Linked DNA regions of Caenorhabditis elegans. The protein of the gene in region 1 purifies or fractionates together with the protein of each later gene. This does not show direct contact. Each region holds a gene or a part of one and is shown on either strand. Other genes may lie near its edges. The genes, in order: cbs-2 and fbxb-112.

Evidence for each region.
Region 2: the proteins of cbs-2 (region 1) and fbxb-112 fractionate together in Caenorhabditis elegans (co-fractionation; one large-scale study listed by BioGRID). This does not show direct contact.

The regions. Positions count from the first base shown.
Region 1 is NC_003280.10:2,219,585-2,225,553, reverse strand, and holds cbs-2 (Putative cystathionine beta-synthase cbs-2), read left to right. Parts: upstream 1-1,986; 5' UTR 1,987-2,013; coding exon 2,014-2,131; intron 2,132-2,177; coding exon 2,178-2,245; intron 2,246-2,840; coding exon 2,841-3,643; intron 3,644-3,687; coding exon 3,688-3,794; intron 3,795-3,987; coding exon 3,988-4,439; intron 4,440-4,483; coding exon 4,484-4,875; intron 4,876-4,921; exon of another isoform or gene 4,922-5,041; coding exon 5,042-5,090; 3' UTR 5,091-5,158; downstream 5,159-5,969. Other genes in the region: F54A3.5 (MICOS complex subunit Mic10), read left to right, coding at 896-1,069; Y59C2A.3 (Trichohyalin), read left to right, coding at 5,644-5,712.
Region 2 is NC_003280.10:3,489,162-3,493,083, forward strand, and holds fbxb-112 (F-box domain-containing protein), read left to right. Parts: upstream 1-1,935; 5' UTR 1,936-2,017; coding exon 2,018-2,100; intron 2,101-2,873; coding exon 2,874-3,330; 3' UTR 3,331-3,422; downstream 3,423-3,922. Other genes in the region: Smu-2 suppressor of mec-8 and unc-52 protein, read left to right, coding at 710-916.

The DNA.
Region 1 (5,969 bases):
GATGATGGAAATTTGACGGAAAAATGTGGAAATCGCGAAAAATCACCGGAAAATTGTGAAAAATCGACTGAAATTCGATATTTTTATCGTTTCTTCAACAATTTTCCATTGAAAAATCGATAAATCATTGATTTTTTGCTATTTTTCAATGAAAAATCGATAATTTATTGATTTTTCGTTTAAAATAGCGAAAAATCAATGATTTATCAATTTTTTTGTTGAAAAATCAATAAAGTATCGATTTTTCAAAAAGTATCACAAAAAGGACATTCGATTTTTCAATTGACAATTTTTAAAATTCGCGCAAAATCGACTGAAATTCGATATTTTTATCGATTTTTCAACAATTTTCCATTGAAAAATCGATAATTTATCGATTTTTTGCTAGTTTTCAATGAAAAATCGATAATTTATTGATTTTTCACTCTTTTTCCGATAAAAATAGTTTTATTATTGATTTTTCAGTGGCAATTTTCAAAAAATCGCAATTAAAATGTCCTTTTTGTGATACTTTTTGAAAAAATCGATACTTTATTGATTTTTCAACAAAAAAATTGATAAATCATTGATTTTTCGCTATTTTAAACGAAAAATCAATAAATTATCGATTTTTCATTGAAAAATAGCAAAAAATCAATGATTTATCGATTTTTCAATGGAAAATTGTTGAAAAATCGATAAAAATATCGAATTTCAGTCGATTTTTCACAATTTTCCGGTGATTTTTCGCGATTTCCACATTTTTCCGTCAAATTTCCTTTTTTTTTCTAAAAAAAAACGTAGAAAATCTATAAAAATTGATTTTTCAAAAAAAAAAAATTTCTTCGAAAAATGTTAATTTTCAGCCGAATTTTCTCGATTTTCCCCCGAAAAAAAAAAGCTCATTTTTTTGCAGAGCCGCTCGTGGCCAATTTGGTTTGGATCAGGCGTCGGTTTGGGCACCGGATGGTCGAATTGCCGTCACGATTTCGCTTCGCCGTACGTTTTGCACGGAAAACGTGTTCCAGCTGGACAGGATTCGCAAGGAAAACCGGCATACAATATTATCACCGAACAACACAAGCAATAGAGAAAAGAAGAGATAAATTTTCGATTTTTTTGAGATTTTTTTGAATTTCCGCCCGCCACCCCGCTTTTTTTTGTTCTCTCTTGTGTCGAAAAATAGGAAAATGTGTGAATAAACTTATGAAAAAATATCGATTTTTTCGGATTTTCACATGGAAAACGGAACATTTTCAGATTTTCAGATTCAAATTCGAAATCCCCGCAAAATTTTGAGCTGAAAATTTAGGATTTGACTAAGAAAATAGCGAGGAATTCGAATTTCGCATTAAAAATGCACAGAAATTATTCGGAGCTCTCAAAAAATGAGCAAATTTTCAGAAAACGGAACAAAAATTTTGAATTTTGACGGGTTAACCGAAAATTTGAAAATTGCAGTTTTCTATAAGAAAAAAAATCGGGAAATGGATGGAAAAGACAGATTTTTCATTTTTACATCAAAAATTTAAGAAAATTCTGTTTAAAACTGCTAAAAACCGATTTCTTTGCAAAACCCTGTTAAAATATGATTATTTCCAATTTTCGAGCTCAAATTCGAGTTCCCCACAAAATTTCAGGCCAAAACCCGAAAACTAGAGGTTTCTAGTTCAATTTTGAATTTTCCCGGATTACGGTAGCGCCAAAAGTACGCAAACACCGACTACCAGTACTTCTACAGTACCCCTATATTTCTAAACCCCTGCAAATCTTTAAAATACGCCTGAAATCCATGAAAATTATAAAAATTCGGCTGAAAATTGTGAAAATATCCATATCACGTGTAATTTAAATAAAAGAAATCAATGAAAATTTAATTTAATTTTAAATTGATGACGTGTAAATGATCTTTCAAAAAAGAAGAAAATTTCCGTATGACCTCCCGTGTTATTGTTTTCCACATCCTTATCTCGTGAATTTGATCAGTTTGGAAATCAATCAATAATCAGTTTCAACTTTTTGCCCGACTGGAGGATGTGCCTGCCTACCATTAAAGCATTCAAGACAATTCTGGACGCCGGGAGCCACCGAGCAACTCAACTGGTGCCGTTGAAGAAGCTGAAGGCCGAGTTTCAGCTGAAAAGTGATATTTGTGAGTTTCTATGTTTCAGAAAAATCTGAAAATTTCCAATTTTCAGATGTCAAACTCGAATATCTCAACATCTCCGGGTCGCTGGAAGATCGTGCGGCTCACCGAGCATTTGAGGTGAGAAAACGGAGAACAATTGGGAAATGTCAATTCAAAATTCGAATTCCTTGCAAAATTTCAGTCTGGGACTGCAGAAACTAGCTGAAAATCGCTTCATTTTGAAGAATTTCCAGCTTCGACCGCGACGCGGCCGCAACGCGCGGAAAAATTGCCGAATTTCTGGTTTTTAACCGAATCTGGTCGATATGGGGTTTAAAATTTAGCAAATTTTGCGGGAAATTCGAATTTTTTAGTTAAAATTTTCCACATTTCCGGGAATAGTCACAAAATTATAGGTGTCAGTTAAAATTTTTGGTCACAATGGACTAAAAATAATTTTTACCAATTTTCGCTGCTAAATTCGAATTTATCTTAAAATTTCAGTCGGAAAATCGAAAACTAGAGGTTTCTAGCTCAATTTTGAAATTTCTCGGGGTACGGTAGCGCCAAAAGTACGCAAACACCGAATTTCACGCGATTTTCGAGTTTTGAGCTGAAAATTGAGTTTTAGACTCAGAAAATGGCGAGGAATTCGAATTTGATAATAAAAAATCCCAGAAAGTAATCTAAAATCTCAAAAACAAATTTTTTTAATTGATTTTTTCTTTTTCAGATGTCCAACGGAATCCAACGAGGCGACGAGGTCTACGTGACCGCCGGCGGATCATCTGCAGTCTCCTATGCCACCGTGGCAGCCGTCAAGGGGGTCAGACTAACCGCCCACGCACCTCCCGGAGCATTCGACCAGGTCAGGACGATTCTGAGCACTTTGGGAACCAAGATCGTGGAGCTCCCGGTTTCAAACTTCCGAGAAGCTCGGCTCCAGGCTGATCTACTGGCCAAGCGTCGAGGTGTCTACAATCTTGATGGGATCTGCGAGAAAGCCGCGTTTCTGGCGAATCTTGAAGGAACTGCACCGGAGATTGAGAAGGCTGGGAAGACCAGTGCAGTTGTGGTACCCCTGGATGCTGGTGGAGCTTCAGCGGCAGCAGGGATCGCTGCTTACTTCTTAAAGGATCAGAAGACAACAGTGGTCGGAGTGAGATCTTCAGCTTCAGCTTCAGCTTCAGCTCCAGCTCCAGAAACAGAAGTTCTTCTGCAGAAGTACAAGGTGGAAATCCGAGATGCTCCTGAATCCTACACCTTCACCAGACACCTCATCGAGACGGAAGGGATCATGGCTGGACCATCTTCCGGAGCGGCAGTGCTGGAAGCCATCAAACTCGCCAAGGATCTTCCAGCCGGGTCAGTGGTCGTGGTGGTTCTGATGGATGGAATCAGGGACTATCTAGATGCTGATTGGATGAAGGTGAACGGCAAGAAGCCTATCAAGCCTCGTGAGATCTTCGACCCGAAGGTGCTGGACTACGATCCGACGAAGATGGTCGGGGAGTGGAAGAGTTCCAGCAAGTTCAGGTAGGTTATAGGATCTGAGATTTAGCAGAAAATTTGATTTTCAGGCCGGAAAGACCACTGGTTCTCGACTCAGTCCTCGATGCGATCGGCAAGACGCCACTGGTGAAGCTTCAGCACGTTCCGAAGGCTCATGGAGTCAGGTGCAATGTTTGTGAGTTGGGAATTCCTCTGTCCGGTCTAGTCTAGTCTAGTCTAGTCTAGGCTAGTCTAGTCTAGTCTAGTCTAGCCTAGCCTAGTCTAGTCTAGTCTAGTCTAGTCTAGTCTAGTCTAGTCTAGTCTAGTCTAGTCTAGTCTAGTCTGGCCTGGCCTGGTCTGCCAAAAATCCTCATCTTGGACAATTTCAGATGTCAAATGCGAGTTCCTCAACGCGGGCGGCTCCACCAAAGATCGAATCGCTAAGAAAATGGTCGAAATTGCTGAGAAAACCGGCAAACCCGGAGCACTCACCCCCGGAGCCACCACCCTCATCGAGCCCACCTCTGGCAACACCGGGATCGGCCTATCCCTGGTCGCGGCGGTCCGTGGCTACAAATGCCTGATCACGATGCCTGAGAAGATGTCCAAGGAGAAGTCGACGACGCTGTCGGTGCTAGGATCCACGATTGTCCGGACTCCCAACGAGGCGGCCTTCAACAGCCCGAGCTCTCACATCGGAGTGGCTCTTCGCTTGAAGCATGAGATTCCGGGTGCGGTGATTCTCGATCAGTACTGTAATCCGGGGAATCCACTGGCACACTATGAGGAGACTGCGGAGGAGATTTTGTGGGATATGGGGGATCGGAAGATTGATCTAGTGGTGAGTAGGAACTTCGGATCAAGCTTCAACTGTTACTCTTACAGGTCCTTGGCGCAGGAACCGGTGGTACCATCACCGGAATCTCTCGGAAGATCCACGAGCGCCGTCCCAACGCGATCGTCGTCGGCGTTGACCCGAATGGATCAATCCTGACCGGCCCGACGACTGGACCCGCTCCAGATTTCTACGAGGTTGAAGGGATCGGCTACGACTTCATCCCGGGGACCCTGGACGAAAAATCAGTAGATTCCTGGCTAAAATCTGATGATAAGGAGTCATTCCTGATGGCTCGAGAGATCATCAGAACCGAGGGGATCTTGTGTGGAGGATCGTCGGGATGCGCGGTGCATTACGCGTTGGAGCAGTGCCGGAAGCTGGATCTGCCGGAGGATGCGAATGTCGTTGTGCTGCTTCCAGACGGGATTCGGAATTATCTGTGAGTTGTCTGGGCCTGGGGCCTACAAAATTAGGCCCAGCTTGCTTTGAGGTCTATTTGCTGTTTGATCTCTGAAAATTGCGGGAAACCTATAGTTTTTGTCGTTTTTAGAGGTCAAAATACTACTCTGTAGCCCCGAAAGCCAAGCTTAAACATAATTTTTCAGCACCAAATTCCTCGACGACGACTGGATGAAAGCCCGCGGCTTCTTGTAAATTGTGACCTAAAAAAATACTTGAAATTGGAATTATGAACTGAATTTTTGACATGAATGAAGATTTTTCTCTTTTTAACCGAGTGCAATCGCGCTCCATTGATATTTTTCCAGATAATTGGGCTTTTTTCCCGAGTTTTTTGAGATATAACCGATTTTTCATTAAAATCGATGAATTTTAGTGGTTTTTGCATTAAAAATGACCGAAAATGCATTTTTCCAGCAATTCGCCCTGTAAAATTAGTGAAAATATGGATTTTTCGTCATATTCCCTGCAAAATAGACAACAGAAGCCATAATTCAAATAACAGAAGCCATATTCGCCGTCCAGCTCAATCGCGCTCCACCGCACCACACTCAAATCCCCCTGCCACCCCGGCACGCGAAGGGGGCCCGGACAATGAGACACCCTGCACACTTACTCTCGCCGCCTCTCGCTCTCTCCGCTCTCGCATTTTCTATTGATTTTCCTCTTGTTTCCTCGAATTTTTTAGTATTCTAGAGCAGAATTTGGTGTTTTAAATCAATTTTTTTATATTTTAGAGCTCGAAATTATGACTTCTCTCGTGTTTAATGACAAAATGATGGCGGAAGAGGGTATGATGGTTCCACAAGCGGAACAAGTGAGTTTTTTGTGAGAAATGAATTAATATCGAGATTTTCCTGTGAAAAATGCTCAAAATCATAATTTTTAGGAGAAAATTTAAAAGAAAACGTCAAAATAGGAAATATTCTGAGCTTGTTATAGGAAAAAAAACCGTTAAAAAAAATGATTCCACAGAGGTTTTTTTGCTGATTTTTATCGAATTTCGGCCTAAAATTTCACTAAAAATTCATTAAACCCCAAGATTCACTGATAAAATTTTGAAGAAATTGCGAA
Region 2 (3,922 bases), 1.3 Mb from region 1:
TTTTTTTTTCAGTAAACATTGAAACAAACGAAATTTTTCCAAAAAAATCCAATTATTTTCCCAAATATCGAAATATTTTTGATTTTCCGTTTTTTTCAGAAAAAAGTTAAAAAAAAAAGGGAAAATTAAGATTTTCCTGATTTTTTTTGAGAAAAAATCGATAAAAATTGAATATTCTGGAAAAAACCTTTAAAAAATTCGAATTAAATCGAAAAACGTCCAAAATTTTCTAAAAAATTGAAATTTTTTTTGAAAAAAAACGGAAAAATTTAGATTTCCCGACTTTTTTCAATGAAAAATCGAATTTTCGTTGACTTTTCATTAAAAAATCCAAACGCATTTTTTTCCACTAAAATCTCGAAAAAGTGTCATATTGCACCATATTGTTTCCACATTCATATTATTTTGAGCTAAATCAGGTGATTTTCTGTATTTTGATACTAATTTCTATTTTTAGAAAAAATGTGGGAACAATATGGTGCAATATGACATTTTTTCGAGATTTTAGTGGAGAAAAAATGCGTTTGGAAACGAATTTTATAATAAAAAGTCAACGAAAATTCGATTTTTCATGGAAAAATAGGGAAATCGAAAACAAATTTGCTTTTTTTTCAAAAAAAAAAACGGAAATTCGAAATTTTTCCGTTCTTTCAAAAAAAAAATCGATTTTTTTGGAAATTTTTTTTTTCAAATTTTTAAAAATTTCCAGGAAGGACGTGAAGCTCTGCCAAAAGCCGCCTATCAATACGGAGTCAAAAATGGAGAAGGTGGCCGAAAGAACAAGAAACAGTCGGCAGTGTCGGATGCGAAGCGGCTCGATCGGGAGCTCAATGAGATTAACAAGATTATGGATAAACGGAAGGCCGGAGGAGATGGAGCCGGTGGTGGTGGAGATTATAAGAAGCCTAAATATTGATTTTTTTAATGATTTTTATGAATTCTTTGCTTCTTTTCCGTTCGTTTCAATAATAAATTTTACTCTAAAAAGTGATTTTTTAAAAAAATCTTTTTAAAAAAGTTGCTCTGAAAATGATAAAAATCGAATTATTTTTTTCGAATTTTTAACGGTGCAAATGCGCTCCACAGCAAATCCGGAAAACGCCCCGCCCTCAAAGCATGGGTCTCGTTAGGTATAAGCCGATATAGGTAAAGGGATAGGTAAAGGGATAGGTATAGGTATAGGTAAAGGCATAGGCATAGGCATAGGTATAGGTTTTGGTATAGGTATAGGTATAGGTATAGGTATAGGTATAGGACTAGGTATAGGTATAGGTATAGGTATAGGTATAGGTATCGGTATAGGTATCGGTATAGGTATAGGTATAGGTATAGGGATAGGTATAGGTATAGGTATAGGTATAGGTATAGGAATAGGTATAGGTATAGGTATAGGTATAGGTATAGGTATAGGTATCGGTATAGGTATAGGTATCGGTATAGGTATAGGTAAAGGGATAGGTATAGGTAAAGGGATAGGTATAGGTATAGGTAAAGGGATAGGTATAGGTATAGGTAAAGGCATAGGCATAGGCATAGGTATAGGTTTTGGTATAGGTATAGGTATAGGTATAGGTTTAGGTATAGGTATAGGAATAGGTATAGGTGTATAGGAATAGGTATAGGTATAGGTATAGGTATAGGTATAGGTATAGGTATCGGTATAGGTATCGGTATAGGTATAGGTAAAGGAATAGATATAGGTATAGGTATAGGTATAGGTATAGGTATAGGTATAGGTATAGGTATAGGTATAGGTATAGGTATAGGTAAAGGGATAGGTATAGGTATAGGTATAGGTATAGGTATAGGTATAGGTATAGGTATAGGTATAGGTATAGGTATAGGTATAGGCTGGCCACGACGCAAATACCTCCTCGTGGGAAGTGTGCGGGAAGAGATCATAGACTATTCCTACCATACTGCGTTACATACGCGGTATTAAATACCAACTATCGATCATTCAGCCATTGTCTTTGGCTGCCATTGTGCTCACTTGTTGCTCAGCAGTCTTACTGCAATGTCTGTCGTCTCTTTTTCTCTTCTACGTCTTTCTAAAAAGGCACTGGATAATGTAACGAAGCACTTGAAATACATTAAAATGTAAGTTCGTAAGATTTTTTTTCTGTAAGGTTATGGTTAGGCATAGGCTCAGACCTAGGTTTAGACTTAGGCTTAGGCGTACCTGGAAACAAAATTGAATTTTCACAGTTTCACACGTCTTTTTCACAGTAAAAGCTAGTTTTTTAAATCATACCCGACAATTTTACAGTTTGTCGAAAAATTGATATCGGCATGCATTTTCTTAATTGTTTCAAATTTTTGTATACCAACGAGTCCGTTTCTCTTTCGGATTTTTTTTGATTTCTTACTAACTAACTGACTGATACTCAACAAATTATTAAAGGTGGAGTAGCGCCAGTGGGGATTTTGTCTAAATGCACTCATAATGATCCAAAACAACCGAATTTCATAATAAAACACTTCAAAAATTTTTCGATTTTTCACAATTTCCGGTCAAAGTTTTGGCAAATTGTCAAAATTTTGAAAAATACTAGCTTTTGAGGAAATTTAAAGAAATGTCGCATGTTTCGACCTCTACAATGTTTTAATACAAATAATTTTAACAAAATTAAAACATAAAAAATGTCGAAAAAAATTTTTTGGTCGACTTCCAAAATTATGAGTGGCAAAAACTGAATAATTGCCACTTTTTGACAGTAAATAAAAAATTTTCAAAATTTTTTGAAAAGTTTTATCATGATATTTGGTCATTTTGGGACCAAAGGAGTGGTTTTTTTTTACTCCACCTTTAATAAACCTAATATCGGAGACAGTTGATGTAAATATTAAATATTACAGTGACTTCTTTTCAGAATCGGACTAACCACGCTCTCCAAGAAGACGTCAAGGTTGTTTAGACTCAATTACAAGGAGGCTCGAATTTTTATTGATATTACTGAAACAATTAATATTTCAATTCGAGATCCATCGAAACATATAACAAGAAAGTTATTGAATGACGGCGTAGCCAATCTACATGACTATCGGTATATGGGACCAACATGGACTGCTGAATGGGTTTTAAAACATTTCGGAATACGGGATTGGATGGTTCTCGTTAAACAGCTGACTGGCCAGGAAGAAATTGAGAAGCTTTGTTTTAGAAAAAACCACCAAAACTACTCAATCGATGAATTCAAGAAGTTTTTCGAAGGATTCAAAGTATCATGTTTATCAATTATTGATCCATCATTTAACTCTCATGGTTTGATTCCCTGCTTTTCCCCTGAAAAAGTGATGCACTTGACTATCGAAAAAGCTTCTAACTAATCGATTCTCGCAGCAAACTTCGAAACCCTAGATATTCACGATGATAGCACTTACACACTGAACGATGTATTGGTAATGAATAGCCCGAATATCTTAATTTCTCTGGGAACACTGTCTGACGTTGAGCTCAACCTGTACTTGAAGCATTTCATTAAAGGCTCAAATCCGATGCTTGAGTTCTTGTTTTTGCTTTACGACTTTGATGATCAAATTATGAAGGAAGATGTTGTCTTCAAAGGAGTTCCTTATACAATTTTATCGCAAAATCTGGAATCATGTTACGTCAAAAAAGAGACTGGTGAGGAAGAATATGTATATGGTGGATATGAAATAACGAGAGATGATGGTAAAATGGCACTTGTTCATATCAAAAAAACGACGCTCATTTATCGAGTTCAAAGTTATTCTTGTTGGTTTAACTGAACGGGTATTACGGGACGGGCGTTATTGGCGGAGATTATTCTGACCAGGGACTCTATTTTGGTGACAAGAGAATTATGTGTCGAATGATATATTTTCTGAATGCTAATACAATGAACATACCGAATTCAAAATAAAATCTTGCCCAAATTGATGTTAAAACAATTTTTTT